4 linked regions of the Notamacropus eugenii genome follow. The main gene of each other region encodes a partner of the protein of the gene in region 3 in a complex. Links are inferred from orthologs where the notes say so. Each region holds a gene or a part of one and is shown on either strand. Other genes may lie near its edges.

What was found.
Region 1: the proteins of CALCRL (region 3) and ADM are in contact, whole or in part, in a cryo-EM structure (PDB 6UUS), measured with the Homo sapiens proteins. The link is inferred for Notamacropus eugenii from reciprocal best matches to the Homo sapiens genes CALCRL and ADM. Residues at the interface, in NP_001258680.1 of Homo sapiens: Val36, Thr37, Asp70, Gly71, Trp72, Asp90, Tyr91, Phe92, Gln93, Asp94, Phe95, Asp96, Pro97, His114, Ser117, Thr120, Trp121, Thr122, Tyr124, Thr125, Asn128, Val135, Ala138, Leu139, Leu141, Phe142, Thr145, Thr191, Leu195, Ala199; in NP_001115.1 of Homo sapiens: Cys110, Arg111, Phe112, Gly113, Thr114, Cys115, Thr116, Val117, Gln118, Lys119, Leu120, Ala121, His122, Gln123, Ile124, Tyr125, Gln126, Phe127, Thr128, Asp129, Lys130, Asp131, Lys132, Asp133, Asn134, Ala136, Pro137, Lys140, Ser142, Pro143.
Region 2: the proteins of CALCRL (region 3) and ADM2 are in contact, whole or in part, in a cryo-EM structure (PDB 6UVA), measured with the Homo sapiens proteins. The link is inferred for Notamacropus eugenii from reciprocal best matches to the Homo sapiens genes CALCRL and ADM2. Residues at the interface, in NP_001258680.1 of Homo sapiens: Val36, Thr37, Lys40, Asp70, Gly71, Trp72, Asp90, Tyr91, Phe92, Gln93, Asp94, Phe95, Asp96, Pro97, Ser98, His114, Ala116, Ser117, Thr120, Trp121, Thr122, Tyr124, Thr125, Asn128, Thr131, Lys134, Val135, Ala138, Leu139, Leu141; in NP_001240774.1 of Homo sapiens: Leu106, Arg107, Val108, Gly109, Cys110, Val111, Leu112, Gly113, Thr114, Cys115, Gln116, Val117, Gln118, Asn119, Leu120, Ser121, His122, Arg123, Leu124, Trp125, Gln126, Leu127, Met128, Gly129, Pro130, Ala131, Gly132, Arg133, Gln134, Asp135.
Region 4: the proteins of CALCRL (region 3) and RAMP3 are in contact, whole or in part, in a cryo-EM structure (PDB 6UVA), measured with the Homo sapiens proteins. The link is inferred for Notamacropus eugenii from reciprocal best matches to the Homo sapiens genes CALCRL and RAMP3. Residues at the interface, in NP_001258680.1 of Homo sapiens: Arg38, Asn39, Met42, Thr43, Gln45, Tyr46, Glu47, Tyr49, Gln50, Met53, Trp69, Asp70, Ser117, Arg119, Thr120, Phe228, Leu231, Ile235, His238, Thr239, Val243, Val245, Lys249, Gln250, His251, Trp254, Tyr255, Phe257, Leu258, Phe262; in NP_005847.1 of Homo sapiens: Trp56, Cys57, Leu59, Phe62, Ile63, Tyr66, Glu67, Thr70, Cys82, Tyr83, Pro85, Asn86, Pro87, Leu88, Gln90, Ile93, Thr94, His97, Arg98, Cys104, Thr105, Val106, Asp107, Arg108, His110, Leu111, Glu112, Asp113, Pro114, Val118.

What each region holds. Positions count from the first base shown.
Region 1 is NC_092877.1:35,155,818-35,162,895, reverse strand, and holds ADM (pro-adrenomedullin), read left to right. Parts: upstream 1-4,072; 5' UTR 4,073-4,223; intron 4,224-4,881; 5' UTR 4,882-4,902; coding exon 4,903-5,000; intron 5,001-5,184; coding exon 5,185-5,334; intron 5,335-5,584; coding exon 5,585-5,882; 3' UTR 5,883-6,844; downstream 6,845-7,078. UniProt on the Homo sapiens protein: Adrenomedullin/ADM and proadrenomedullin N-20 terminal peptide/PAMP are peptide hormones that act as potent hypotensive and vasodilatator agents. Numerous actions have been reported most related to the physiologic control of fluid and electrolyte homeostasis.
Region 2 is NC_092874.1:303,814,713-303,821,602, reverse strand, and holds the start of ADM2 (protein ADM2), read left to right. Parts: upstream 1-3,874; 5' UTR 3,875-4,154; intron 4,155-4,347; 5' UTR 4,348-4,391; coding exon 4,392-4,501; intron 4,502-6,351; coding exon 6,352-6,721; 3' UTR 6,722-6,890. UniProt on the Homo sapiens protein: Intermedin/ADM2 is a peptide hormone that plays a role as physiological regulator of gastrointestinal and cardiovascular bioactivities mediated by the CALCRL-RAMPs receptor complexes.
Region 3 is NC_092876.1:253,854,211-253,862,151, reverse strand, and holds the start of CALCRL (calcitonin gene-related peptide type 1 receptor), read left to right. Parts: upstream 1-4,923; 5' UTR 4,924-5,315; intron 5,316-7,941. UniProt on the Homo sapiens protein: G protein-coupled receptor which specificity is determined by its interaction with receptor-activity-modifying proteins (RAMPs). Together with RAMP1, form the receptor complex for calcitonin-gene-related peptides CALCA/CGRP1 and CALCB/CGRP2.
Region 4 is NC_092872.1:430,843-438,303, forward strand, and holds the start of RAMP3 (receptor activity-modifying protein 3), read right to left. Parts: upstream 3,012-7,461; 5' UTR 2,876-3,011; coding exon 2,764-2,875; intron 1-2,763. UniProt on the Homo sapiens protein: Accessory protein that interacts with and modulates the function of G-protein coupled receptors including calcitonin gene-related peptide type 1 receptor (CALCRL), calcitonin receptor (CALCR) and G-protein coupled estrogen receptor 1 (GPER1).

The sequences.
Region 1 (7,078 bases), on a different chromosome or scaffold from region 3:
CTTTCCATACCTACTGTTTTTGAAATGCTTGAAATAACAGGTTTAAGCTAATACTTATTTTTAGCTCCCCTAGATCCTTTCTTCCCTCTTCTTAGTGGGGGGTGGGTGGGAAGAATTAAATGCACATACTTGTTGCAACTTGTCCCCACTGATTTGTCATCTGTACTGTTGAGCCTTTGGGGTCTTACGCTCCAAGGCTCTTTTCTTGGCTAATTAGAGTAAGTCAATTCAACAAGCATTTATTGTTTGTTGAAGGAAGTCCTTTGGTGGGCACTAATGGAAACAAAAATAACATTTAGATAAAATTCAGAGTTCTGCTCTCATAGAATTTATCACTTAAATAGAAATATTTTTCCAACCCCACCCATCTGAGTGGGGGAGGAAAATCTACTTGGGATTTCTTCTTAAATGTGCTCTGATGAGTGTGTGTGTATATCTATCTATCTATAGATAGATAGATAGATATATCGGTATATCTATAGATAGATAGATATCTATATCTATCTATCTATCTACCTATCTATCTACCTATCTATCTATACATACTAGTGACTGGCTCTTATCTGACTCTGAAAAACATTCTTTGGGTTCCAACTTTTCCTTACTTCTTACCTCTTTCTTGCTTCTTTCCACTTTCCAAGCGCTGGGAAGTGTCAGGTAAGACTTTCTGTTCAATGGGAATTTACAGCCAGAGAAACCTGAATGGATGAAAGCAAGTACATGTGAAAAAGAAAGATCTGAATTCTACCAAGGAATATTTCAGTTGGGATGTGACCAGAAGAAAAACAAAACAAAACAAAACTGTGTATCATAGATTCTCTAGAACAGGAGGGATACGACGTGGTTAAACTCTTTGAATGTCCACAGAGGACTAGATCCCACATGGTGCGCCTGTTTTGCCAAGGTAAATTCCAGAGCGTTTTGGAAAACACGTGCTTCACTCCAGAAGGCAGCGGGAGCTCCCGCAAACAAACCGGGCAGAGCTGGTTCTCTCTTTGGAGCAGGAAAGCATCTGAATTAGAGGACGGGGGGCAGGAGGGGGTCGGGCGGGGCGGCTGAAGTGTTTTCCTAGCTTCAGATCTAACATCCCAGGAGCAGCCAAGTGCACCTGGACTGATAAGAGGCGTGCCAAGTTTCACTTTTGCTGTTTGGCATTCCCGGACGACCGACCCCCTGCTGGGGAGCGGGACGGGAAGCGAGTGCCTGCTCTGAGCCTCAACTGGAGCCTGGCTCTCTCTTGGCGGGAAAGGAAGGGGAAGCTCTCACTTAAAAGCATAATTTATCCTAAAAGATCTCATTCCCCGCCTTCTCTCCCCCACTCCCATCTCCCACTCCTTCCCTGCTCGGGGTCTGGGGGCAGAGTAATAGCTTACATCCTTATACCCTTCTAATTAAAAAGCAGTTTCTTCCAACCAGGTCAAGCAGTGTTTATCCCCATTTTATTGACGAGGAAACTGATACCTGAAAAGATGGAATGACTAGCCCAGGTTGACCCAGCTCGTTTTAGATCTGGGACTGTTCCAACTGCGAGAGAGCTCACACCACCTCTGGCCACAGACCTCTGTGGCACTTGCTCTAGGTCGAGGCGAACTCGATGCTCTCGCCCACTCCCTTGGGTGGAGGAGTTGGAAGCGAGTGAAGAGTTCTGGACCGCTGAGTGACGTTGGGAGATGGGCTTTTGGCAGCTCAACCCTCCGGGTTACGGACTCCTTACCAGCAAAGCAAAGGAGCAATTTCCTTGGAATGTGGGGATAAAACCACCCTTCTCCCTGGGACAGTCGAGTTGTCCTTTGATTTCACTATATGCAGACACCCAGTTCCCCAAAGGAAAGGTTTCCTTTCCCAAGGGTGACGACAGAGCAGAGACGACGGAAGCGGACAAATGAAAGTAACCTGTTCTGGAGCAATGAGACAAACAGAGGAAAATAGGGGCGGGAAAATACACAGGGAACTGACAGAGATTTGGGGTCAATCGCTATTCTTAGGCTCGAATCCTGGCTAGGCACCTTTGCCGCCTCAGCTTCAGTGTCCTCGATAAAATAGGTGGAGGCTAGGGGAAGACGATGATTTCGAAGGTGTGTACCTGCTCTGACATTCTATAATTAGTTCTATAAACGTTTATTAAAGTCTACATACCAGTTATTGTGCTAGGCTCTGGGCACTGTGATGAGAAAGAAGAGAGTGGGGAGGGAGGAAGAGAAATAGGAGAGACACAGAGGCAGAGAGAGAGGGAAAGCATGAAGGATACAGACAAAGGAAGTGAGAGATATTTTTAAAAGGGAGGAAGATGAGCAAAGACACAGAAGCTAAAGGGATGAGTCCGCCTAACACATAGTAGGCGGTCAATAAATATTTGAAGAGTGAGTGTTGTCCTTGCCCCACCTGCACACATAGGCGTTTCTGAGCCTGGGCCAAGTTAATGAGTCGACATCCAGAGAGCCCTCGCCTCGGGTGCACCAGGGAAGCCACTCTACCATAGCTGCGGCGGGCATCCAGAGGCTGCCGCTGCACCTAGCTAGCTCGGGAGGGCCAGGATTTGGGGGACATCCCAACCTTTCCACAGCCACAGCAAATCTTGCTCCGGGTACAAATGACTCACTCCAAGGTGATTCCTCTGACGCAACCTCCATCCAGCTGGCCTTTCCATTCACACCTTAGAAACAAGGGACATGAAAGCGGGTCCGGAAAGCGACTGTCACAAGCTAGCTGGCCACTCTCCTGGAAGGGTCGGGAGTGGCCCGGGCTCCTGGAGCTCTGGACCACAGAGGCACCTGTTCAACCAGAGGGCTCGGAAGCCCTGATGGGCAGGCAGCCAGAGACAGGAGGTGAGGAGTCGGGAACTCCTATGTAAAGCACCTGCAGAAGACAGAAATAAAGCCAAGTGAGGAATCAGGAGTACACAAGTATATAAATAAGACTTTAGAGTTCACAGACAAGAGGAGGATGCCAGTATTAATATCACCACCATTTTCCTGACGAGGAAAGTAGGGACTCCGAGAGGTGAATGACTTGCCTAAGGTCACAGGGCTGCGAAGTCCCGGAGCTAGCCCTGAAGCCCGGTCTTCTTTTCCATTACATCACTAGGCAACCTTTAAAGGTTTTATAAAGACTTACAGTGGTCTGCAAAAGTACTCAACTCCCTGGCCACGATCTTCGCGTCCTCACAAAGACCCAGCCCCAGTCCACAGGGAGAGGTCCTCGCCCAGGCAGTGGGCTTTTTGCTTTACTGCCCATCTCACCCTTACCTCGGGGGGAAGGCTTTGGAGTTCCAACAGAAGTCAGGAATTCTTGGCCAGAGGCCAACCAGTTCCTTCCTAAACGTTCGAAAAGCAGAACAATGACACCACAAATTTAACACATACAAAGGCAGGGAGTTTGTTCTCTTGCTCTTGGATTTACACACCGGAGTGAAACATCTGAAATTTCAACAAGCTCTTTCCTTAGAAAAATCCCCTACCCAAGCTTTCCTGATCTCGCACCCCTTGCCAAACCCTCTGGTCTTTTCCAGAACTCTGGTGTCTCGGACATTTGCTAGACAGTGTCTGGGAAACCTCCCTCACTCCTATCCCCTCCACTCATTACCATGCCTGAGGCCGAATTCAAGTGCTTCCCAAGACGGCTGCTTCCTAGAGCAGGAGCCTTGCAGGGAGGAGGAAAGTGAGACCCAAGAAGAGTCCCAGTGACCTTGAACCCTCGACTCCTGTGGACTAGCCCAGTCGCCTTGGCTGGAAGCTAGGATCTCCCCGGGACATCAGAGGAGATGATTTGGTGGGGAGAGAGTGGGCACGCTTAAGCTCCGCAGCCATCCATGATAATTGTTACAGCCTGGGTGCTGTGGACGCTCTGGGTGAACGTCCCCTTGCTGCCCACGGTACCCTAACCCAGGGTTCGCCTTACACTGGGGGGCCCTGAGGCAGGAAACGTATGCGTGTTGGCGCCTTCGACGCAGGGCGCAGAAGGAAGAGAGGAAAATGATTGCACTAACAGCAGCAGCAGCGCCAGCGGCGTCCGCTGTGGAACCCCCAGCAAGCCCCGCCCCGCTGAGCTCCTATAAAAGTAGGAGGCAAGCGCAGGACACTTCAGAGGTTTAACTGGGGACCTAAAGACTTCCTGCTGCTCCTGCGCCTTCTCTTCGCCTCTTATCTCCGACTCTTAATAGAACTTCTGTCGCCGAGGGTGGGGATCTTTGACTCTCTCATTGGATTGATTACCTTCAGCAGCAGGTAAGGGGGCCTTCGAGCTTGGAGTGGTGGCAGTGGAGGTTGGGTAGAGGGAATGGGCTTTAGTGATCTCCAAAGTCACTGATCAGAAAACTCAGGTCCCTGCACCGACTTTCCCTGTGCTTGCTTTCCGACAACCCTGCTGAGGCTGCTGGAGCCGAGATCTGGGCGGGAGAGCGGGGAGGGGGGGGGGGGTAAAGAGAGGGGAGGGGTGACTGAATCTTCGCCTAGTCCAAGTGAGGCATGCCCTGCGAATGAGCTCCGGAGGCTACTCTTAGCTCGGGATCCCTCCCAAGAGAACGTCTTCCTCTTCTATCTGTTAAGAATAAGCTCCTAGAAAAGTTTCAAAGTGAGTCCTAAGCTCAGAATTTAGGGAGTGCTGCCGGGTGGGGTGAGGGAACCCCCCCCCCCCCCCCACTCGGCCTGTCAGTTCAGACGGCTGACGGATGCAAAGCCTGCAGGCGGCTTATCTGCCCTGGCGCGATAAGCGATTGAGCAAACAAAAGCGGGGACTAGGTTAGGACGGTTCTGGGGCCACTGGTCTGCGGCGCTCAGCCAGCTGGAGCTGAGCTAGAGCTGCTGGGGGGGTGAGGGAAGGGGCTAGAGCCGAAGCCAGGAGCAGAGTCAGACACTGACTTTTTCGGTTCTCTCTTTCATCCAGGGTGACCGGATCGCCGCCGGAATGCAGCTGGTGCCAGTGGCCCTAATTTACCTGGGCTCCTTCGCCTTCCTGGGGGCGGACACTGCACGACTAGATTTGGCTTCAGAGTTCAGAAAAAAGTAAGTTCCGACCATGTTCTCTAGCCAAGTAGTTGGGTTCAGACACTCCGGAGCGAGGAATCCTCCGTTAATTCAGGGTACGGGAGAAAAGGGTACGGTGTTGATGCTACCACTCACCAGTGGGAGAGGGCTCTGCGATTCGTTGCATATGGTGCTAATGGTGTGGCTGTTGGTTACTTTCCAGATGGAACAAATGGGCTCTGAGCAGAGGAAAGAGGGAATTGCGTGTGCCGGGCAATCCCCTCGCTAGCCCAGCCGAAGTGAAGGCTGGTCCTGTCCAGACATTTATTCGGCCCCAGGACGTGAAGGGTGCTTCCCGCAGTCCACAGCCCAGGTAAGTTTGTGGGTCCCGCTTGGGGAATCCCTTTCATCTCCGAAGGTGCTACTCCCCGCCTCCGTGGCCCCAACTCGGGTCCAGAGCTGAGGAAGGGCTTGGGCTAAGAAAAGGTGCCTCGACGGAGCAACATAGAGTCCCTGTTCCTCTCCGAGGCTCCCCTAGTTAGGCTAAGATTCCGGTCTAACTCATCCAGATCTTAGGGACTCTACGGGTTGTCTAACTCCTCTCTGTCCCTCCTGTCCCGCAGCAGTCCGGACGCAGCCCGCATACGCGTCAAGCGATACCGCCAGAGCATGAACAGTTTCCCTCACTTCCAGAGCCTACGCATTGGCTGCCGTTTTGGGACGTGCACCCTGCAAAACCTGGCGCACCAGATCTATCAGCTCACGGACAAAGATAAGGACAATTCGGCGCCCCCCAACAAAATCAGCCCCCAGGGCTACGGGCGTCGGCGTCGGCGCTCGCTCGCCGAGGGCTCGTCTGCCCGGACACTCTCCTCCTTCTCTTTGTCCTCCTCCTCCCTCAGACGGCTACGGCAGCAATAGCGGCAGCCGCGCCTCGGGCCGCTCAGCGAGCCAACCTGCGTTGCGAGCCGATTGCGCCCGGCGCCACTTCGAGGGGCCGCCTTCCTCTGGACGTAGGGGGCGGGAGCCGCGGCGAAACCAAAGCACTGCACCCAATGGGCGCCGGCCGGCCGGCCTCGGTGCGAGCGGGGAGGGGGCCAGTTCTGTGCGATGGAGAACTCGGACGCAGGAGGCATAAAGTCCACTAGAGGAGCTCCCGCAGTCTCCCTCATCCCTCTCTTTGGGGAGGAATGGATCCTCTCCAAGTGGGGACTGACCGCGGTCGCATTTTGCCTTCACGCCCTTTGCTTCACTCGGACCCCAGTCCGCATCCAAGCTGCAGAGACCCAGGCCGGGCCTAGGGTCCCCTGAGGAATCATTCAGAGAAGGCTAGGGCGGGGGGAAAGATGCCCGGGACTTACGTGTGAAGGACGAAGATCTGGGAAAGTTGGACTTAGCGAAGAGGCCCACACTGCGTCTGCCGGCTTCTCCCCGCGGTCGGGCCGGGGTCTCGGAACTACTTGATCTTTTCATAATAGAGGAAAAGTGCAATGGGGCTTTTAAAAATGCATTTTAATAGAGAGGTAACTATCTGATATTTATCTTGCTGTCAGGTTTTTTTTTTTTTGTAAATTCAGAGTTATTTTTGTACGTTATATATTGTATTGTATTGTATAAGGGCATTTTAAAATAGTGTGTATCTCCCTCCCCTTGTCTTAATTTTAATATGAGAATGTCACAGATTGATCTCAGCCTGGTATAACCCTCTCACAGTCATATTGGGGGTGTGTATGAGATGAGTGAGTGTGTTGAGAGAGAAAGTGTGAGTGTATGGCATTCTGTCCTGGTGGAAAAAGAAAATTCCTCGTCACTGTATATTATATTTTCTTAAAGGGGGTGGTGATAAGGAAACTGGCAAAGCTAATAAACAGTTACAATACTGACTACGTGGTTCTGGACTCAATTATCTTTGAAGAGAACTGGACTCTAATGGGTGGTAGTGGAGGGTTTAGAGATCCTCTTCCCAACTCCCCCTTCCGTTGACTAGTTAGAAATATTTTTTCCTGGTACACTCCTTGGCTTTCTCGGGGTTTGGCCCTGAACTATTGCGGGGTCAAGTGACACGCTGCCCCAAAAGCCTCATTTTTCCCAACCCAGAAATCATAATGACTTATAGG
Region 2 (6,890 bases), on a different chromosome or scaffold from region 3:
GGTGCTATATATGGGAGGGTTCATTTCTCTTCAGACTCAGGTATGGAGGGGAAATTCTCCAAGTCACTCATTTATCACTATCAGACTTGGGATGGAGAGTTTTCCTACTCAGGACCAGAAACTGGAGAAGTGTTTGAGTTAATAACCAAGGACCCCAAGAATTTGGGTTAGCTAAGGAGCTGCATCGATTACCCATTCTCAGTCAAGCACATTTATGTCTTTGGGAACAGGGTGGGGGGAGGGAGGGGGAGGCTTGCTTGCTTTGTTGCAGAGTAATAAAGTCCATGCTTGTTCTAGCAAGTACCAATTTTTCTGTCAATCCTCAAACTTGGATCTTTGTTCTAACCTAAACTGTGAGGTCAAATAAAGCAGATACACAGCTGAACAATGAGGTGGGTCTAGAATCAGGTTGGAAGAGAGGGTGGGCTGGATGGCATTTGGGAAACTGAGAAGTGCTGTTATGGATTTCAAGCTGCTACCTTATCATCATCATAGCTCTTTAATGTTCACAGAGTACTTTACAAACATTGTCTTGTTTGATCCTCACAACTGTGAAGTATAATCCCTATTTTGCAGCTGAGGAAACTGAGGCAGATAGGGGTTAAGTGACTTGCCCAAGGTCACAGATCTAGTAAGTGTCTGAGGTCAGATTGGCACTCAGGTCTCCCTGACTCCAGGCCCAGTGATCTCTCCACTGTGGCGCCATCTAGCTATCTCTATAGATTGTGGAGAACAAAGTCAGCTGGCTGTGGTCCAACCACCTCTCACAGGCTGGACAGTCTTCATCTATTCGGGGATAATTTGAGTGTTATTATTATTTTTGTTAATTAAAAATTTTTTAAATTTATTTTATTAAATATCTCCCAATTACATGTAAAATTTTTTTAACATTCATTTTTAAAAATTTTGAGTTTCAATTTCTTCCCCTCTCCCTTTCAGAAGGGAAGCAGCTTGAAATAGATTATACATGTAAGTCATGTAAAATATATTTCTGTATTAACCATGTTGAGTGTTACGGTTATAGTATTAGTATACAGTATAGTAATATAGTCCATAGTAAGTACCTAGTAATTAACAGATACTAAATAACTACTTAGAATATAACATATAGTAATATACTTAGTAGCTGGTTAGTATATAGTAATATACTTGGCCTACAGTAACAGTATATAGTTATATATACCATTTATTATATATTATAGTATACATATGTTGTATAGTACATAGTTGTAGTAAAGTTAGTGTATAATACATGTCAGTATCTAGTGTTACTGATTATGACAATGACGAAGATGGTGACAATGGACCCACTGTCCCCTGCTGATTACGTCCAGCTGGGTACCAGGTAATGCCCTGTTCACCTTCTGGAAAATCCTCCAGGGCACCATCCCAGGCTGGTGACTGCCCTTCCTCCCATTGTTTAGGACTGGCTGCCTTATGCCACAACCGATCATTTCCTTGTGGTGAGCTCCTCAAGTGCAAAGCCATTACAGTCTCATCTTTGTGTCCTTGGCTCCCAGAGCAAGTCTTACACGTAGCAGGCACTCAGTGACCATGTGTTGTAGCTGGTTGCCTACTTTTAAAATGTGATCATTCTTCATAAAGGTTGGTTTGGGTCTTCTCTGGAGGACCTATGGAAAGGTGTGGACCAGAAGTACCCAGGATGATCTCAAGGCTAAGCCTTCTGCTTCCAGGGCTAGGGGCAAGGCCTGGCAGCATCTGTCTTTCCTCTGCTGTGGAGGATGGGTAGGCAGACACACAGTGAAGTCCTTTACAGGAGAGGACACTGGAAGTGTCACAGCTATCCTGGGGCTCTCCAATCTAGTAACTCGGATTTCTGGAGTCTATTTGTAGCCACCTGAAGGAGGTTGTGTCCTCCTTCAAACTTGGGAGATCCCTGAGGGCAAGTCTGGGGTCCCTCAGATTAGGGAGTCCACTTGATTGCTTTCTCTCTTTATGGGAGTTTCCTCACGGCCACATTGCCTCCCTCAAACAGGTGCTGTCTCCTTCCCAGGCCAGAACTCCCCCTCTGACCATTCCTAGGACCCCCAGGAGCTGTTTCCTGTTGAAACCCAGGGCTTCCCTTGGCCTCTATCTCCTCTCCTGATGGGTGCTCTCCATCATCGCTGACTGACTGACTGTTAGGCTATGGCCTATGGGAGCCACCAGCTTAAGACAGACAGACAGATGGCAGAGGACTCCTGGAGCCAAAAGGCACTCCTTTGCACTGGAGGTAAGTGGGGATATGGTGGGACACTGGGTCCACAGGTGACCTAACTGTGCCCACAGCTCCCCAGACTAGAATTGCACCTCGGGCTCAGTCTCTCCTCCCCCTCCCCCCTGTTGCTTTGGGAGCAGGACTGGGCGTGTGGAGGCAGAGTGGGGCAGTGCCCGGCTGGGAGCCTCCCCTTCGTGTCTCAGGGCACGTTCCTCAGGCAGGAGGAGGGAGGGAGAGAGAGAGGGAGGGAAGGAAGGATGGAGGGTTAGGTGTGCCTTGGCCCTCATAGGGTGACCACAGTGGGTAGCCCTGACCACAGCAGGGACACTAGGCAGTGTCCTCACTCTGGAACACTAACCCTTCAAGCCAAGCTCCAAGCTAGACCTCTTCCTGTGCACCTGAGAGGTCCATATGCCAGACAGAGCACGTCCAACATGTCAGTGACCAGACTCCTTAGACCTAACCTAAATCTTCAATCCTGCCTCCCCCAACTCCAACCTGTGGCCCCCTAGATCTAATCCCCCTCAGTCCTGGCTCCCGGAACCCCAAGCTCTGCTCCTCTGAATCTCCAACAACTCAAGCTCTCTGCTTCCCATTTTCCTCCAATTCCATTTCCCTCCGATTCCCCAAGTCCCCAACCCTGCCCCTCCAGCCTCTACTCCCAGCCTCCTCCAGCACCTCTAGGTGTGCCCCTGAATCCCTAGGTCTTCCAATCAGGGTAGCTGTGGGCCCTCAGTGGACGCACAAACAAGGGATAGTAGCCCAGCCACAAGACCTCACAGCCATGCCTGTGGCTCCCTCCATTACCCCCAAATGGGAGTCTGGCCAATCTCCAGGGGCTTCCCAGCAAGGAATGGGATTCCTGGTGCTCAGACGGGAAGTCTGAGAGGTCCTACAAGGACTCCGACCATCCCAAACAGTGATTTAGCTTAACCCTTTGTTCTGGTAAGGGTCCTGTCCAGTCCAAGTACCTTACCCCCTCCCTCAAGCCCCGATATTGGGCAACATGGAAACATTCCAGCCCCAGGTGGCCCCCTGTTTACCATGACAAGAACAGCCTGGTTCTGAATGGGATGAGGAGGATTCAGTTAGTCCCTAGTGACTGGGGGCTGGGGCAGTCAAGGCAGCTTTCTTCTTCCAGGTCCTGAGGGAGGCTATTTGAGGAAGGAGCTGGTACTATATGAAAAATTCTAGGGAGGAGCAGAGGGAATTATAGAATTTCCAGTGGAAAGTTACCTTTGGAGATCATAACTGGGAAACTGAGGCAAAAAGGGGAGACAGGACATGTTTCTCCAGGAGTGTAGGAGGTCACATTTGAACTCAGATCTTGTGGCTCGAAGTCCACCCTCTTGCCCTGAACTACAGACTGCATAGTCAGAGCCAAGAAAGAGCCTGGTGTGTTTGGGGCTGTCTATAACCAGCTAGTCCCCCCGATGGCCCTGCCAGTGGCCAGAACCTAAGGGAGACGCGGGCTCTGGCTACCTTCCCCACCCTTGAGCCCCTAGCTCAGGACCGGAGTTGGGGAGGAGATTCAGGCCCCTAGCCACTGGGGCCAGAAGAGCTGTGGGGGCGGGGAGGGCCAAGGGGTGGAGAGCTGGCCAGCCCCGCCCCGGCCCGAAGGGGAATATTTAACCTGAGAAGAAGCTAGCTCTGCCCGGCTCCACCAGCCCAGCTCAGGACTGACCGTACCGCGGCCAGCTGACAGACGGTGGCCAGCCACGGACAGCGGCTAGCCGGCTGGCGTCCAGACCGCGGACGGTAACTGCGCCGACGTCCACCAGAAGCCCCCGAGCGAACCCGACCCCTGAATCTCTGGGCCTGAATCTCTCCACCTGCTGCCCCACTCACCCGCATTCACCGCGGGACGGACAGACTGAGAAGGACCGACGGGACCTCGTGCGGACAGACAGGAGAACTCACTGAGCGCCCGCATTAGGTGGGGGGCGGAGGGGAAAGGTCCCGAGAACTTGGGCGGAGGCGGGGGGGAGGGGGTCTGGTGGAAGCAGGCCCGGGCCAGGAGGTGGGAAGGTCCGAGGGGGCAGGAGCCCCGGGGCCTCCAGGTCTGTGTAAGAGCCTGGGGGCCCCCAGGGACGCGCCTAGGGGTTCATTGGCAGCCTTCATCCCTCCAGCCCTAGTCCCGGACCGCGGGAGCCCCGCGCAGCCCCAGCCTGCCATGGGCTGGCTCCTACCCGTCACCCTCGGTTGCATCAGCCTCCTGAGCCTCCTGCTCCCGGGCACGCTGTCCCGGCGCCCGGGACCTCACCCGCTGTTGGCTCGGCCCAGGTGAGTGCGACGTGGCCCCCTCGGGTCTCAGGGTCCGCCCCCTCGGTCACCAGTCATCTCTTCTCGTACGAAAACTGCCCCCCACCCATCCACCCCCGCCCAGTCCAGACCCAGCCCTCTGACTTCTACAACAGCCCGACTCCGGAGACGAGGACCCTACCCTCATCTCCACCACTTCTCTCCTCCTTCAGGGTCCCAGATCACCTCCAGGGGTCCAGATCCCAGAACCTAGTTCAGAGCCCCTTCACTCACTCAGAGCTAGGCCCACTCTGACCCGTGGACCTCCGATCCCCCACCCAGAGCTTTGGGGGCTGGGGGCGGAGCAGGGAGGGGCCAGCTTAGGAATGGGGCTCTCTCTCCCGCAGCACAAAAGGGGTTAATGACTGGTCAGTCCACCAGGGGGAGCCGTGGTCTCTTCGCTCAGATATGCCTGGGCTCAGTCCAGGTGGGAGAAGGAGTTGACCGCTAGGATTGGGAGTTGGGGACCAGGAATTGGGAAGTGGCCTTGCACAGGCCAGCATCACCAGAAGGGAGCCTAAGGGAATCGTAATAATGGCCAGCTTTAAGAGGCCGCATTTGGGCTTCATTACCCTCCTGGAAGGGAGATGATATTAATTCCATTTTATAGAGGGGAAAACTGAGGCAGACAGAGGTTAAGTGACTTGCTCAGGGTCACACAATCAGTAAGTGTATGAGTCAGGATTTGAATTCATGGCTTCCTGATTGAAGGTCCAGTGTTCTACTCACTGCCCTGCCCAGCTACCTCTAGCCACCTAAAGCTAAAGGGAACCTCAGAGGTCCGGGGAGATGAACTGACTTGCCCCAGCTCACGCAAACAGTGAGCATCAGAGACAGAATTTGAACCCATGTCCCCTGACTTGCTCCAGACCTTTGCATGGTAGCACACTGCCCCCACTTCTGAAGGAGAGTAACCCTCCCATCCAGGAAACCCCTCCAAAATTGCTGCCAGCTAAACCAGGGTCAGACTATTTGAGTCTGGAGATCTGGGGCTATATGGAATCTCCCCAGGCCCCACTCCCCCTGGGGCCAAGGGCCTAAGTCCAATCCACCCTTCACGCCCCCCCCCCCCAACTTTCTGACTGAACGGGGAGGAAGGGGCAAGAGAAATCTGCCTTGAGATTTACAAAGCATGATTCTCATAATAACCCTGCAAAGGACCCCCCTAAGAATTAGTTTCCCTGTTTTACAGGGAAGGAAACTGAGGCCCAGAGAGAGGCAGCAGGGTCACAAAACTAGCAAGGGGTCAGAGCTAGGGCTTGATCTTAGGTCCTCTGACTGCAAGGTTGGCTCTCTTTCCTCTGGACCAATGCTGCCTCTGATATGGAGGTCGCAAAAGAGGGCGGCAGTCTGCACAGAGGAGGTCATGGGCCCTGAGTCCAGAGAAGACAGGATCAGCTGAGATGGAGACACAGGCCCAGAGATGGGGGGGATGTCATGGGCCCTGAGCCCAAGGGAGGAGGAAGTAAACCCTGAGGCTGCAGATTCAGGTGAGTGTGAGGAAGACTGAAGCTGGGTTTGGCTTCTCCCCCTGTTCAGGTGGCAGCTGCCCAGCACTCAGGACTGGGTGGGGTCATTACCGCCATCAGCCACATTCCAGGGAGCAGTGACCCACAGAGGCCTGGGAGTTGCCCTTTGCCCAGGGTAGATGAGGGTTAATGGACCATGTGACCCTGATGACTGGTGTCCAGGATGGGTTTCCAGGGGCTGTGGTCTTTTCCCGGCAGTGTCCCCAGGGCCAGAGGGCATCCCAGCAGGTAGTCCCCATTTATGTCTGGCAGTGTGAGGGGGTTGGGGGCTCAGGTTCACTCTTCCCTGTGTTTCCTCTGCAGGGAACCCCCAGACCGGCTATCCCCCCAAGACCTCGAATACCAGGCTGTGATGAATGTGGGGCCAGTGGCTCTTGTGGGCCAGCCAGGGCCCCACCTGGAGCCCCTCGGGGGGTACCGCCCTCGACACCCACCCCATCATCGCCATCGCCACGGAAGGCTGCAGGGCCGCAGGGGCAGGGGCAAGAGCAGGGGCAGTGGCAGGGGTCGCAGGCACACCAGGCGTCACCACGCCCAGCTCTTGAGAGTGGGCTGTGTACTGAGCACCTGCCAGGTGCAGAACCTCAGCCATCGCCTGAGGCAGCTCATGGGACAGTCAGGGAGGCAGGACTCAGCCCCTATGAACCCCAAGAGTCCCCACAGTTATGGCTGAGCATCAACCCTGCCCCTACAGCCCCATCAAGACCCCAGAGCTCACCACAGGGACCCCTATGTCTGGGATCTCCCATATCTGGGACCCTGGCCAAGTGACTTTCCTCTGAGGCTAAGCTTCCTCATGCATCCAAAGGGGATAGTCGTTAATACTGACACAATTCACCTCT
Region 3 (7,941 bases):
TCACACAAAGTACTGTTCTTGAGTCCAACCCCACATAACTCTAGGCACTAGTCAAAGAGAAATCTAGGGTAATTTCTTACAAACATTCTTGAAATAAGTAATCTACCTGTGTCACATTACTAGTACCATATCATTCTTTCTCTGAGAATGCAATTTTGTATTGTTGTCCATATTTTAAGATGCTTACCACTGTGAGAATTTGTGGCAGAGAAAGCTACTGCGTATAGTTAGGCTCTTTACATAAGAATCATCACTCTCATCTGAATAGAAAGCTGCTTTTGTGTATAACAGATAGATATCTACATGAGTATGCACATCTGAAAGAACTCATACATGATTGTCCATATATTCTACATGAAACATACATATATTTCTCTAAAATCACATGTACACATATATGTACGCCTGTATATACATGACTCCATATGTCATTTAACCCCTTTCAGCTTCAATTTCCTCATTTGTAACATGGAAATAATAATGTTATGTACCTCATAAGTTGTTGTGAGGATGCCATGAGATTAAAAAATGAAGAAATTCTTAAACCTTAAAGTACTATTATTATTAAACATATCTGATTGAAGAAACTACACCATAATTAAAAAGGGTGCTGGGCTTACAGTCTGGAAGCTCAGTTTCAGGGTTTAGTGCTGAAATAAACTAGTTATATGACCCCACACAAGTTAATCTTTCTGAACTTAAATTTCTTCATAGGCAACATGGGTATAATAAAAAAATAGCTAGCATTTATATAACATTTTCAAAGTTTGTAAAATGCTTTGCATATGTTATTTCATTTGCTCTTCACAAAACTCCTATGAAGTAGGTGCCAGTATATATACTTTGCAGATGGGAACACTGAGGCAGAGGGAGATTGAATGACAGGACTGAGGTCATTGATCTATTAACTTCCTGAGACAGGATTTGAATGAATACAGGTCTTCCTGACTCTGAGTCCAGTGTGCTCTATCCACTGTACCTGTCTCGTGTTATCCATCTTTCAAAGTGGTTGTAGGAAAAGTACTTTGTAAATTTCCTAATGCTCTACAAATGTGAGTTCCTATTACTAGGTTTGCAGTTCTAATTGTTACTTGCACTGTTGGCAACTACATTATCAGCCATGACTAGTTAGTTGCTTTTCCTCTTCCAGGAATCATCCCATCTCTGGATGATATCTTCCACTCCACTTTTTCTTCACTTCACAGTTTGTACCTTGGGCTCAGTTTGTGCTTAAAAGAATTTCTTTTACCCATTTTGTTGAAATCATTTTATAGCTCCAAATCAGATATCTGGTTGTAATCTACATGTGACTCCTTAGCAGAACTGTGTCACAGACAATGCTGTTTTGTTGCTAATTGTGGAAAGTGTGCAAGAACCTGGTTATTAGATTCACTTTTTGACATCCAGCAAACTTATAGATGACATTTAGAAAACTCTTCATGAATCTGAAGGAAATGTCATTTCATCTCAAAATTCTATTAGTCAACTTTATGATTGTAGGTTCTTACCAATAAATAGAAAACTAAACTAGAAAACTCCTTAGGATTTTACTATTAGAGAACTACATATATGATAGAGGCAGGGTTGTTCTGGAACCAACTCATACTGGCTTGCAAGAGCCAATTGTTAAATTTTCAGTGTGAGTGTTTGCATTCAGCAAACACTGTAAATCAAGCATGATTTACTGTTTTGTGGATTGCCTACACTTAAGAAAGTCAGAAAGAAAATTATAATAAATGCAGCATAAAGTATTTAAAACTACTTTGTAAACTAGTAATACAGTATATAACACGTTTCAAAGGGAAGACTGTAAAGGCAAAATTTCTCTGACTCTATTTAGAAATCATGATCTAGGGTATGAATGTATTATCAGAATTCATATGGAGTTGGAGTTGAATTACAGAATTAGCAGAGAGGAATGCAGCTAATCTTTCTTCACTTCCCGGTAATATTTGAGTTAGGCACTGGTTTGTTTTCTATCCCTTCTAGAAACTTAAAAGAGTGAGGTGTGTGTGGGCATGACTGTATATGTGTGTGTGTGTGTGTGTGTGTGTGTGTGTGTGTTTTCCTGCAGATCCAGTTATTCAATCTTTACTAGCACTTTCTTGGGTGTAGAGGAAAAAGCCACAAGAAGATTGAGGTTTCAATGAGTGTTCCACTCTTAGTTTCTCAATAAAAGCATGTTACTTTACCTCCTTGAAGACCATTTTCCATATCACTAAAATGGAGATGATAATCCCTACCAACCTCATAGGCACTTTGTTTGAATCAAATGAGACTTTTGTTTGTAAAAGAATTTTGTAAACTGTAAAGTGTCTTCCCACCCCAAAAGAAGATTTTTTAAATGACATCTTTCCATTATTTCTTTCCTTTTTCATGTCCTGAAGAAATGTTACTTTTATTCAATTGCCCAACCCATGGATGCAAAGGATGTCAAAGCCAGAAGAAACCTTTGATATCATTTAGTCCAATTGCCTCTTTTATAAACTGAAGAATAGGAAGCCATGAGAAGTTACATAATTTCATCAGTGGAAACTGGAATGAGAACCCATATCTTTAGATCCCATGTTTTTTTTATCTTAATCGAAAATTCTTCCCAATTCTGTGTATAAAGTCTAACCAACACTCTCCACTCTCTGTGGAGTCTGTAACTATATCCTCTTTCCCCTAGAGATTGAAAGGCTGCTTTCATGAGAACTTGCTTTGCTTGCTGTGGTTGTCCCCTAACAGACAAATGGAGAACAGCAGAAGTAACCATTTGTTCCTAAATACCACACTCTAAAAGCTCCCCTTTAGAATATATGCTATTTTTCAGTGCTCAAAACTGTTGTAATTCAGTTTCTAATAGTTATCTCTTCCATGACTTGTAATTTTTAGGGATCATTGTATGCCCAGCTTCTTACATGTACTTCCTTTTATATATTTAGCTCCATTAAGATGAACTATGTTTATACATGCATATGTGTAAATCAACTTGGGTCAAAAGATCATAAGAGTTGGAGTTACTGTTGACACTGCACAAGATCCATTTCAGTTCCTTGTATATAGATTCCTGGGCATCTTTTAGCAATTCAGTTCTTCATGATTTATGTGCAGTGACTGATGTTTCACAGGATGCCATCTATCTAAGACACATGGCATTTAAAACTCTTGAATTGTCCCTTATCTTGGAAAGCTCACCTAGCCCTCAGTTCTTCCCATCTCAAATTACATTAGGACAAATCTACCACTCCACATCTTAAAATGGCCTGTTATTCATCTTTGAACTTAACTCAATTCATGGAATAGGACCTTTAGAAATCCTCTAGTTCAATCACTTTTATTTTATAAAGACTATGAAATGAAAAGAGAAAAACTAAGGCTCAGTAAGTTCAAGTCATTTTCAAGTTCCAGTAATTACAATGACATGAATGTTCTGACTCACAGATTTAACATATTTTCCATTTATAGCCACATTTTTTTTTCTCGAACTTTTCAATGTTTGCAAAATATCTGGGAAAATTGTTTTACTTTTTGATAAAGCTTTTTAAAAATACACTTAAGAAAATTCTAGATAATTGAATCAAATGTTGGAAATGCTGGATTCAAATCAAAGCAATATTTTGTTTAGGCAAAATTAGATATTTTAATTTTAAAATATATTTAAAAAGCTATTGGTATGCTGTTGTATTGTAGAATGTACTAATTAAGAAAATGGTGGTCTAATGAATTAGATACTTTGTGAGAATGGATCTTTTCCCACTGAAGTTTTTTCATTTTTTTTTCAAGTCACTACATTTCATATATTAATCAAATATTTACATGTATACAGTTACCAACATTTAGAAACTAAGTACCCATAATCAGGTTTGGGCTGAATTCATATAATGCCAGCTACTTCAATGAAAATGAAAATTCTGGCTACAAAACTCTTAGTCAAATCAATCGGAAATACCTTGGATGATTGATTGACTTTTTCACTCTTCCCCAGCATGTTTGATATAAAGTCGTATAAACAAAAAGTAAGAAAGAGAGAGAAAGAAATAAAAGTTCTCTACTACTTGCCCTCTTTTCATTTTGTTCTGATTTATGTAGTTGTAAGTTTAAACAACATGCCATTTTTATTTATTGTTATTTTTGGGAGGTGATGATATATTAATTCAAACATAGAGCTACTGATAAGCATAGATTTCAGCCCCAGATTCCCTAGGCCTACCTTCACATTTTCTCTAGCTAAAGATTTCCATGTAGGCTTGGACTGTGGCAAATGTAAGCCATCTGTAATCCTTTGACACAAAGATCCATGAGGTCAGGAGCTGAGCCTGTCATTTGGGTATACCCCATGCGGTTAGGGAACTGCCCTGGCACCTGTGAGTACTCAGTAACTGCTTGTTAACTGACTGATAAATTCAGTCTGGAGTTTGGAGAATGACAGTGTACTATTTGCAAACTATCCTTCCTCTAAATTATTTAAAACTAGTTCCTTTTAAACTAGTCATAAATATAAAGTGTTTCAAAGGGAAGATCATAAAGGCAAAATTTCTCTGGCTCTCTCTATAAAGCATGGTCTGGGACATGCATGTATTATCAGAATTCATATGGGCTGGAGTCAGATTACAGAATTAGCATAGAGGAATGCAGCTAATCTTTCTCATTGTTCACTTCGGAGTTAAATCTAAGTTAAGACTGGTTTATTTTCTCGCCTTTCTGGAAACTCTTTAAAGTGTTGTATTTCCCATGGTGAGCATTCATATGGATAGGCACCCCAAACCCACGTGCCTAATTCAGCTCCTTTCAATACAGTATTATTTTCAGATCAACTTCACTCAAGGCTCTGATGTATCTGCTTGACAAGTCCTAACAGAACACAGAGAAGATGCAAGCCAGCCGGTCTTTGCTGGTAACAATGGATTCATGACTTTAGGAACTGTTTCTGCTCAGGCTGCTTCTTGCTCCTGCCTGAGAAGAGAGGAGCACAGCTTTCCTGGGGTGTGCTATTTGAACAAGAAAGTAATCTAACACTAAATGCAGGCGGGGTCAGAGTGATGTAACAGGAAGCTCTGATGTTTCCCTTCTGCTGCAGATCACTTACAATCTGACAACACTTCCAATCCTACTCAGAACAAGCCCTCTCACCACAGTAGAGCTGTGGAACCCCTTCCATTAAGATCACCAGGCTCTGATAACTGGATTACACCCAGACTGCAGGATCAAATTGCAAGTCTTTTGCTGTTTCCCCACCTTGCCTGAGGGGGAGAATCTCTTCTGCAGAATCTCAGAAAAATCAAATTGCATCCAAGACTATTTTACAAAAAATTCCTTAGGAACTGCGCTGGGTGAGTACACATTAAAGCATATCTAAGAATTGTAAATGATAACTGTCATTTGACTTGAGATTGTTTCATGGGCTTTAGTTACTGGCATTGGGAGAAGCTGGAAACATTCTCATTGATTTGTGTATGTTAGATAAGCTATAGAGTGCGACAGCAAAAGTAGAAATCTTGTTAATTACTCCTGTCATTTAGACTAGTATTCCAGATTTTGGGGGGAGCAAGAAATAAAAGTTGAATGACTTGAAAGGAGCTCTTCTGGGAATAGATCTCCAAAACTAGCTATGGGTAATGCTATATTTTCTTATAGTCCAAATATTTAAAAACAAGCTTTATTCTTGCCAGCTGGAAAATATTAAAGCAATTGTTTCAGGAAAAAAAAAGGTCTCTAAACTCTCTCAGTACAATTGGGACTTTTAGGAAAGAGGAAGGATAAATGAAAAACTCCATTAGCTCTCTAGTCCTGAGATCTCCTCTCACTGGCACTGTTATTGAACAGGCAATTAAGGGCCAAAACACTAGCTTTCCATTGAGCACATTTGTTTGTACTTGCAGTTTACCTCAACTCACATACATCTTCTTAACCAATTCTAATATCATCAATTCATTTTCGTGTGTTTTCAAGCTATCCCTTCATAAGACTCCAAATGTTTGCATTAGAGTAGATTATAAAGTGGGATTCTTGGTGGAAAGTCATTGAAAGATTGGAAAAAGGGCCAGGAGGGAATATACTTTAAGCTCTGAAGTTATGTACTATTTTATTTTTAAAGTTAATTCATAGCAAATACAGTATTTCTTCCTATTGTGCTTCTTATAGTCTGCTGACTTACTTGTTTCTCTGTGCATGTGTTTTGGGAGGGGTTGAGAGAAATGGAGGCATGGGCATATTCAGAAAAAGAAAAAAATACATATATATGTACACACACATAAAAGGGAGGTACTATTGATTAATAAGAATTTACATAAGTACAAACAGAATAACTACAAGGTCCATATTCACTACTGGTTATGGTGATAATTAATTTTCTGAGTGAATTAATGATTGTTCAGACAAGACAAATCATCCTAATGAATTCAACAATTTGATATTCACATAATTTGTAAGTAAAGAGAATTCATTGATTGTTAAATATTATTATTTATTTTCAGGAAATTAGATATCAAAGTTGTGCTTGATTGATGTTAAAGATGCCACTACTGATCAAAACGGGTTTTGATTTCAATGACATTATGCCTCTTTTTTTTCTTTTTGCTTCCGTTATGGGCATCCTGGACTTAATCACCCATAATTTTACCATATTACAAGGGACTACTTTGTCATCCGGTATAATTCCCTGGCAGTTTTGCCTTGGACATTCAATACCACAGATGCTTCTAAATAACTTTTCACAAGAGTACAGCTACATGATTTTCTTGCTCTTAATTTATATATTACTTATTCATAGATCCTTTGACCATGAGAGGTATACAAATTTTTTAAAAATGGCAGGAGAGGGAGATTCTAGGTTACTTTTGAAAGCCTCTTAAAGTCTGGCATGGGAATTAGGAAGGACCTAGTTGAAATCATACATATTTCAGTTTTGATTTTGCTTAGAATAGATCATAAAAAATCTATATCTAATGATACTTAAAGATTATATCCCTCTCTTTGGGAAATTGTGTTTAACAAAATATTTCACATTATAACAACAAAGAGTGAAGACATGGATTAAAAAGTGACAAATACCTAATTAATTGTTGGGAGGGGGAAAAGTATCCAATATTATTTTCACTAAATATCTATAAATTGAAATGACATAAATTTGATCTCTTAAAATAACCATACAAAAAGAACCAAGCAATACTGATCTTCTAGAGCTAAAGATTGAAGCAAGAATTAAAATAACTTGGACCACACACATATGCTTTTGCTTACACACACATACACACACATACACACATACATACACACACACACACACTGCTCTAAAATTGTTTCCTTTAAAAATCAATAACTTGCATAAATCTATGTATGATTATGATACTGAGGTAATTATTTTACTTTCTTAAATATATTTCTTCCTCATGCTATCTCCCGCATTGACTGCGTGGAGTCATCATGTATGCCTAAGCTAGGTTTACACATGTACAATAAAATGGAAAATTTAGGCAGTGCAATGATATGGATGGTTTAAGCCAAACCTCTCACCTAAAATATTTAAACTATTAAATAAAAATGTATTACTGAGATAATTGCTCAACTTTTCCTTCATTTTCCAATATATTTCTTGACTTGTGAAAATGCTGGGATTTGTTTATTCTATTTCTCAACTGCACTATCCTGATAAGAAATAGTGATGCTAAGTAAAATGCAGAAGATAAAAAGTACATTATTTTATATCTATTAACTTGAATTAGTTTTGGAGTTACAGAAAACGATATAAAACTGAATTGTAAGCATGTAAACTCTAATCCATAATTTCAAAAAACATCCTTTATTTCACTAGCCCAAATTTCTGGTCCCAATATAGACATTTTTAGAGCATATTCACTTTGCAATTTTCCCAACAGAAGCTTCCTCAGCTTTTGTTAAGGTATATTAAAGGTTACCAAAAGTTCTAGAATAATATTATTCAAAGTTGTGTAATACTTT
Region 4 (7,461 bases), on a different chromosome or scaffold from region 3:
TTATTAAATGGATGAAATACATTAAAAATACGAATGCTCTTTGCTGCTAAAAGCTGAAAAAAGCACATACAGACCCTAAAAATAAATTGGTGTGTGTTACATTCACTTCTTTTGTTTTAAACAATGACTTCCAGACTACAGTGTCAGGCAAGCAATAAATGGAAAAAAATAGATGTAAAGTGAGATGTGCAGAAATAAAAATAAATAAGGAAGGATGATCACCATGGAAGAAGGAGGTAGGGATATCATCGGCAGAGCATGAAGTAGGAGCCAACAGGTCTGGGTTCCAGCATCAGCTCTGCCAAAATTTAGCAGTATGACTTGGGTAAGTCACTTTTTGGTCCCAGTTAGCTCATCTATAAAATAACAGAACTGAACTAAATCACTTTTCAAGTCTCTTCCAGCTCTAAGAATCCTGCAATTGAAATACAAACCATGCAAATTAGCATTTATTATGTCCAAGGCACCATACCAAGTATTAGGAACACAAGGACAAAGAAGAAAAATAGTCCCTGACCTCAAGGAGTTTACATTCTGCTGAAATAATCCTACTAAAATAGTTGAAAAACAAGCAAATTCTATTTTCAATATTATAAGTTACCCTAAATAAATTGTTGTGAAAAACTACAAGAATATCCCCACAAAGCTGTCTCAATCAAGTCACTTTACATTAACGTTGTAACCAAGCTGGGAAACTGCACTAAAATGTCACGCACCCAGTCACTCACCTAATTGTACAACACTCGTCCTATGGCACTGCTCCTTAATATTCATTTTACCTAAGGATATTGGGCAAGATACTCACTCCTCAACTGCTACAAATCCACAGAGTGAGATAGCACATTGTTTGCTGTTGTAGCTCAGTCATTTTTTCAGTCACATCCTAACTCTCTGTGACCCCACTTGGGGTTTTTCTGGCAAAGATCCTAGAGTGGTTTGCCATTTCCTTCTTCAACTCATTTTACAGATGAGGAAAGTGGGGCAAATGGGGTTAAGTGATCTGCCCAAGGTCATACAACTAGTAAGTGTCTGAGGTCAGATTTGAACTCATAAAGATGAGCCTTCCTAACTTCAGGCCTGGCACTCTGTGCCACCTAGCTGCCATAGCTTACTGTTAATCTCTGGGAATTGCCCAAGAAAAATAATAAAGAGGTGGGAAGAGGGAACAACAAACTGCTTGAAAACCAAAAGCATTCCTTTTATTAATGCATCCTAATGGGGGCAGAGAGATCAATTAGTAAATCACATTCAATGGAATAAGCCTTTTCTAGTTTTCCAGCATCAGTATGTGCTCCAGTTTCAGCTTCCCTGTGCTAAAGTAAAAGATCTGGACTAGGCAAGCATTAGAGTTAATGATGCAATCAGCACACGTGGAGGGTGGGGTGCACACTTTGTAACTCCAGATCCGTGAAGGTAACTTACCAAAATAACCACTTTCAGGATCCAAAGAGAAGCTGATACCTCCTTTGAATGGTTAGTGGAGAATGTGGGAATTGTAACAGTAAAAGCACAAAACTGAGCTCTTCTGCTGTGAGCTATTCCCTTAAAACCAGGGAGTGGAAGTTTCCTTTCCTTCACTTTCCATCTAGCCCTCAAGCCAAAGAGGCAGGTACACACAAAATTCACACACCCATGCACACCCAAAGCCAGCTTAAAAACATGTCTATACAAACTATCCTTACCACACCACTTTTAACACTCAAAATAAAGCACATCACAAACACCAAAAACATTTCTAGGTTCCTTATGGTTAAAGGACATATGAAATCAAAACTCTAGTATAACTTCTTTTGGGTAGTTAAAACATTTTAATGTTATCATTAAAAAAAAAAAAATGCGTTAACCTACAAGACATCTAATGGTATCAATTTACGGCCAAGCCTGTGCAAACTGAATGGAAGTCATGCCATCACCTTACCAAGAAAGCTTCAGATACAGAAATAAGAAAAAAACAGTTGGATTGGGGGAGGACAGGACAGAGTGAGGAACCACTCTAGGGGATAACGGATCCTTCCTTCCATATCACCTTAGACGTGTATTTTTACTTTTACAGATTTCTGGCCTTATTCTTCCTCAGTGAGGGTTTCTGATCCAATTCACAGCACCACCACCAGCTCCTCTCCACCAAAAAAGATCAATAGCAACAAAAACCTACTAATACGCAACTGTGACAAATAGGTTTTCTCACACAATCAGTTCAGTTCTGAGAGATCCCAATTAAACCCTTGCCGCAGCGCCTAATTCTCATCTCCTTTTTCCTCCATGTCTTCCATTTTCAATCTAGGGAATCCAACACAATTCAATTCAACAAATATTCATCATGGCCTCTGTACACAGAACACTGTACTAGTAAGCAGAGGATAGAGGGAGAGGGAGGGGAAGCTAGAGGTACAACATTTAAACAAGACAGTCCCTGCCACAAAAACTGCAGTGTTAGATATGAGATCTCACTCCTTAGCCGGGGGAAAAAAAGAATGAGCCCAAGCCGCAGCCTAGTCCAAAACCCCAGTGGGGGCGGGGGGGGGGGGGGGGAGGGGTGAGAGTTGAGGGAGAGAGGTGAAGGAAGGAGGGGGAAGAGGAGAGATCGGGGAGAGGGGGTTCGGGGAGAGAAGAAACTCCTGGCCCCTAGGACCCGTTAGAACAGGTGCCTCTTGTGCCTCGGTTATCCCAGTTACTGAAAAGCCATGAAAGGGTGAAGAACAGTTTGCCTCAAAGATCAGCCTTCCCACAACTCTTAATATTCCTTTTCCTCTGGGCACTCACTGTAGCCACCGCCGCCTCTGCCCCCATCTTCACAGGCGGAAAAATATATAAAATCCTCTCTGGTTTTCATAGGTGAGCCATTCTCGACGCTGAAAGGGACCCTAGAGACCATCCGCAGCAACCTCGTCTTTTTAGAGATGAGGAAAAAGATATCGAGAGAAGCGAAATGACTTGCTCAAGGTCACACAGGTAGTCAGTAACAAAGTTCGGACTCTAACCCAAGCCTACTGACTTGACTGAAGCGCATCTCTAGGTGATGTTGGAATTTTATCAGACCCGTTCTCAGTCCATGTATCTTCCCAGTTCCCCTTCTCAGCCTACCTCCTTCCCCCATCTACCCCATCCCCCCAAAAAAGTAAAGATCCAGCAGACAAATGAAACAGGAAAGCAATGCACCCAACGCTGCATCCTAAAACACAGGTCCCTCTTCTCGGCTACAGTCCAGCCGCCTCCCAGGTATACCATGTTTCTGGCCAGAGAATTCCCAGACCACCACTGCCCGGCCCCAAATCCACTTCCCCTTCCCCGCCTGGGACAATGAGACCCCACCTCCAGCCAAGAACCCAGCTCTTGTACTCCTCTGACTCCTTAGCCAGGGACTGGGGCGGGGGGCTGGGGAGGGGGAAGAGAAGGTGGAAGAGGGGAGAGAGACAGAGACAGAGACAGACAGACAGAGAGATAGACAGAGAGAGAGACAGAGACAGAGAGACAGACAGAGACAGACAGACAGAGAGAGACAGAGACAGACAGACAGAGAGAGACAGAGACAGACAGACAGACAGAGACAGAGACAGAGAGAGACAGAGAGAGACAGAGAGAGAGAGAGAGAGAGAGAGAGAGAGGGAGAGGGAGGGGGAGGGGGAGGGGGAGAGGGAGGGGGAGAGGGAGAGGGAGGGGGAGAGAGGGAGAGGGAGAGAGGTGCTCAGTGGAATGCCCCACCCCCGGATCCCCTTCGCAGTCCTGCTGACCAGCCGCACCACGCGCCCAAGTTCCGCGGGTGGACAGCAGGGACAGCTCCTTTCTCGTTCCCAGAGGCTCAAGCCCACGCTGTACCCGGGCTGGGCAGGGCAGGGCAGAAGGAGGGAGGGCGAGGCTTCCCAGGCACACAGTTCCTGGCGGGCAGACAAGACTTCACAGGAAAAACTTAGAGGATCCAGCGGGAGGCGGCGCGGGCTCCCTGCACCGAGAAACCTTGCTCGGAGCCACGGTCAGAGCCCTCGGCCCGATCGGCTCCCGGCCCCTTTGTCCCTCCCCGACGCCCTTGTCCCTGCTTACCCCAGAGCAGCACCAGGAGAAGTCGCAGCAGCCGCCGAGCTCGCGGCTCCATCGAGCTTGCTCCGGGGAACCCTCCGAGCGAGGCTCCCACAAGAGGGGCGTGGAGGGGAGGATCCAAGGAGGAGCCGGGGTTCAGGGGGAGTCCGAGGCGGCCAAGAGAGGAGAGCAGCTGCGGCAGCGCCCGGCAGCCCGGCTCTTTGCTCCGCAACTCGTGCTCCCCTGGCTCCGTTCGTCTGCTCTCCCAGTCCGGGCGCAGGAGCCGGAGGAGAGCCGACCTAACCTCCCAAGCAGAGGCAGACCGCCCCTCAGCGCCCAACCGCTGGAACTGTCCTGGTTCTACTTTGGGGGGGGGGGGTGGAGGGGGAGGTTGTACCCTCCCCCCACGGCAGGTCCTCTTCGCTGGGGTTGAAGGATGAAAAGGATGTAGTGGCTATTCTGGGATCCTCCAGGGGAGTTATGGGCCGGAACCACTGAGAGGCAGGACTGCTGGAGCAAGGAGGGACAGAGAGAGGAAAAAATCTGTGACGGGAGAGGAGAGGGGTGTGTGTGTGTGTGTGTGTGTGTGTGTGTGTGTGAGAGAGAGAGAGAGAGAGAGAGAGAGAGAGTTGTGTGTGTGCTGTATGTGTGTGTGTCCTTTGCTTTCTTTGTGCATCAGCACCACGTGTGCCTGTGTATAGTTAATTGTCCTGTCTTCATTCCTTTCCTTGGCAAGACTCTCCAAACACCTTCATTCAGAGGTCTTAGGGGATATGGGGACACATGCACACGCACACACACACACACGCACACGCACACACGCGCACACACACACACACACACACACACACCTTTTTCTCTCTTCAAGCACCAGTGCTTAGGGTGCATTAAGCAGCCTCTTCTCCCTTCTCTCCAGGGGCACTGCTAACACTACTCTGATTTCTCTTGGCCTCTCCATAAAAACAAGAACAGCTATTCCTGGAGGACACCAGGGTACCGCTGCACCACCCAGTTACCTTGACATGAATCTAAATAGAAAGAGGAGATATCAGCGGAAGGGCTGTCCAAAGAGGGCTGCCAATTCCCAAACCTTTAAACGCTTTTCTTATGTTCTTTAAGTTGTGATAATAGTAATGTTAGATAGCATTTATAAGACATTGCTACAAGTACTAGTAGCCATATATATGAGGAAACTGAGGCTCTGAGAAGTGAATTGCTCATGATCCCTGGTCAGTGACCAGGGGAGAATTTGAGCCCAAGTTTTCTGGCTCCAAGTTGGTCCCTCTTCCTGGTAAATCAGGCTACCATTTTAATGTACAAATGTAATACATAATGTCATTTTCATCAGAACCACAAAGATTCTATCTGGAGTTTTCTGCAATTCCTAATGTGGTTAACACTTAATAAAGAGTACTGACACTGGTGATAGCTTTATGCCACTATCTAATCCTGAAAGATATGACCTTACTTTTTTTTCTCCCCATATTTAAGATTTATTTTCATTTTCCTTCCTTCTGAGAGAAAAGAGACTGATATAACAAAGGAGTCAAGATCATTTGTACCTTTCAACTTAAGTAAATTTTAAAATTGTATTTCAAAGGATTGTTCCTCCTCCAAAAAAAATTTAACTGATGAGCTCTCTCCATCTAAGGAAGTTCATGAGACATGAAGAGTGGTTCTGGAGGTCAACAGCAAATCTCTTGTCAAATTTACTGTACCATTATAAGGCCATTTTAAAACTGGGAGCTACTGAATATGATCACCACTTCTACAATATGTAATGTGGATGTGGCAAATAAAATCAAGAAAGGCAAGCTGAGGTACACAACTCCTAGCAAAATCAGTTTATTAGCAGTGATGTGCATATCTGTTAACAAAGCAGGTCAGTAAACCTCAGTAAAGCCAGGGATCCCAGTGAGGAAGGTACCTTTTTATTGACATACAACAAAGAAAAGGTCTTGGTAGTTGTAGAACATTACTATTGGCTATACTAAGAAAAGAGGGTTGGTATTCAAGTGTGGCTAGTCACCCCTTTTCTGATAATGAAGGGCAGCTATGTGATGCAACAGATAGAGTACCAGGGCTGGAGTCAGGCAGACCTGAGTTAAAATTCAACCTCAGACATTTACTACGTGACCCTGAACAAGTCACTTAACCCTATTTACCTCAGTTTCATCATGTGTAAAATGAGCTGGATAAAAATAGCATACCTTTCCAGTATCTTTGTCAATGGCATCTGAAAGTGTCAGACATAAAAGAAATGAACAGCAACAATGAAGATTGCTTTACAGGACCAATCTCCATCTTGTAATCTTTGTGAGGGGATCTACTAGACTTGCTGTCTCCTTGAAAGAGATAAAAACTCCCCTAATTGCACAAGGCCAGGCAAGGACTGATGACATATCTTTTGGGGATGGCACCAAGTTAATTTGTGGAACTTCAAGACAGCAAATAGATGTCCTGGAAATAAACTGGTATGAGAGACAACAACTTTTCTTTTAATTATAATTTCAAACTAACTCAGAGGGACAACTGAATTCCTGAGCTCAATTCAAGGACATAAAAAGGGAGCGCTAGGCAGATATAGATTTAATTATAAAAATCAATACAGCATAAAATCAATTTCATTGTAGAATTAATACAGTTGAAACTTGAGGTGATATTAATTTGGTCCTCTCACTGAATTACAATAAATCATACCAAATATTCCAGATACCAAATGTAGGCATCATCCCCAGCATTGGTAGACTGTATAGTTTCATGTTATACAACAAATTTATTATTCCAAGTGAAAGCAGCCCACTGCAAGACAACAGAGCTAGCACCACATCCGTATTATGACAGCTGGGAGGTCCATTAATCTAGAAATCATTAAGTGATTTTTAAACTCTTCAGTCAGTTCACCCAAGCTGCAGTTCCCAATAAACTAAAATAAAATGACCAAGTCCAAAAATCAGATGCTTCCCCCATATAACACATACAAACAGATCATGAATATAAATACCTTGGTACGAATACACCTATGGAATGACGTAACTGTAGTTATTTCTGGATACCCATACTTCCTATTGCTCCCTGCCCCTGAAGGCAAACTTTCAAAGCCCTCTGTAAGTTGCCCAGTTAGGCCAAAGCCCAGAGTACAAAATGGGAGACATACAAAGAAGTAGGAAGGGAAGAGAAGGGGTTTTACTCTCCCACAATGTTTAGACCTGTGATTCTATCCACAAATACTCATTCTATAGAAGCAGATAAGAACCAGAGCATCAGTTTTAGAGCATCATCAAAGGCTCAGTTGAATATCATACATTAACTTGTGTCAGAGTTGAAATTTGAACCCACATCCTTCCAACTCAAACCATTACAAAGCTATATCTCATAACACACATAGTAGGTGCTAAATAAATATTGGTTGATTTATTTCAAACCATATGATAAGGACAGAGGATC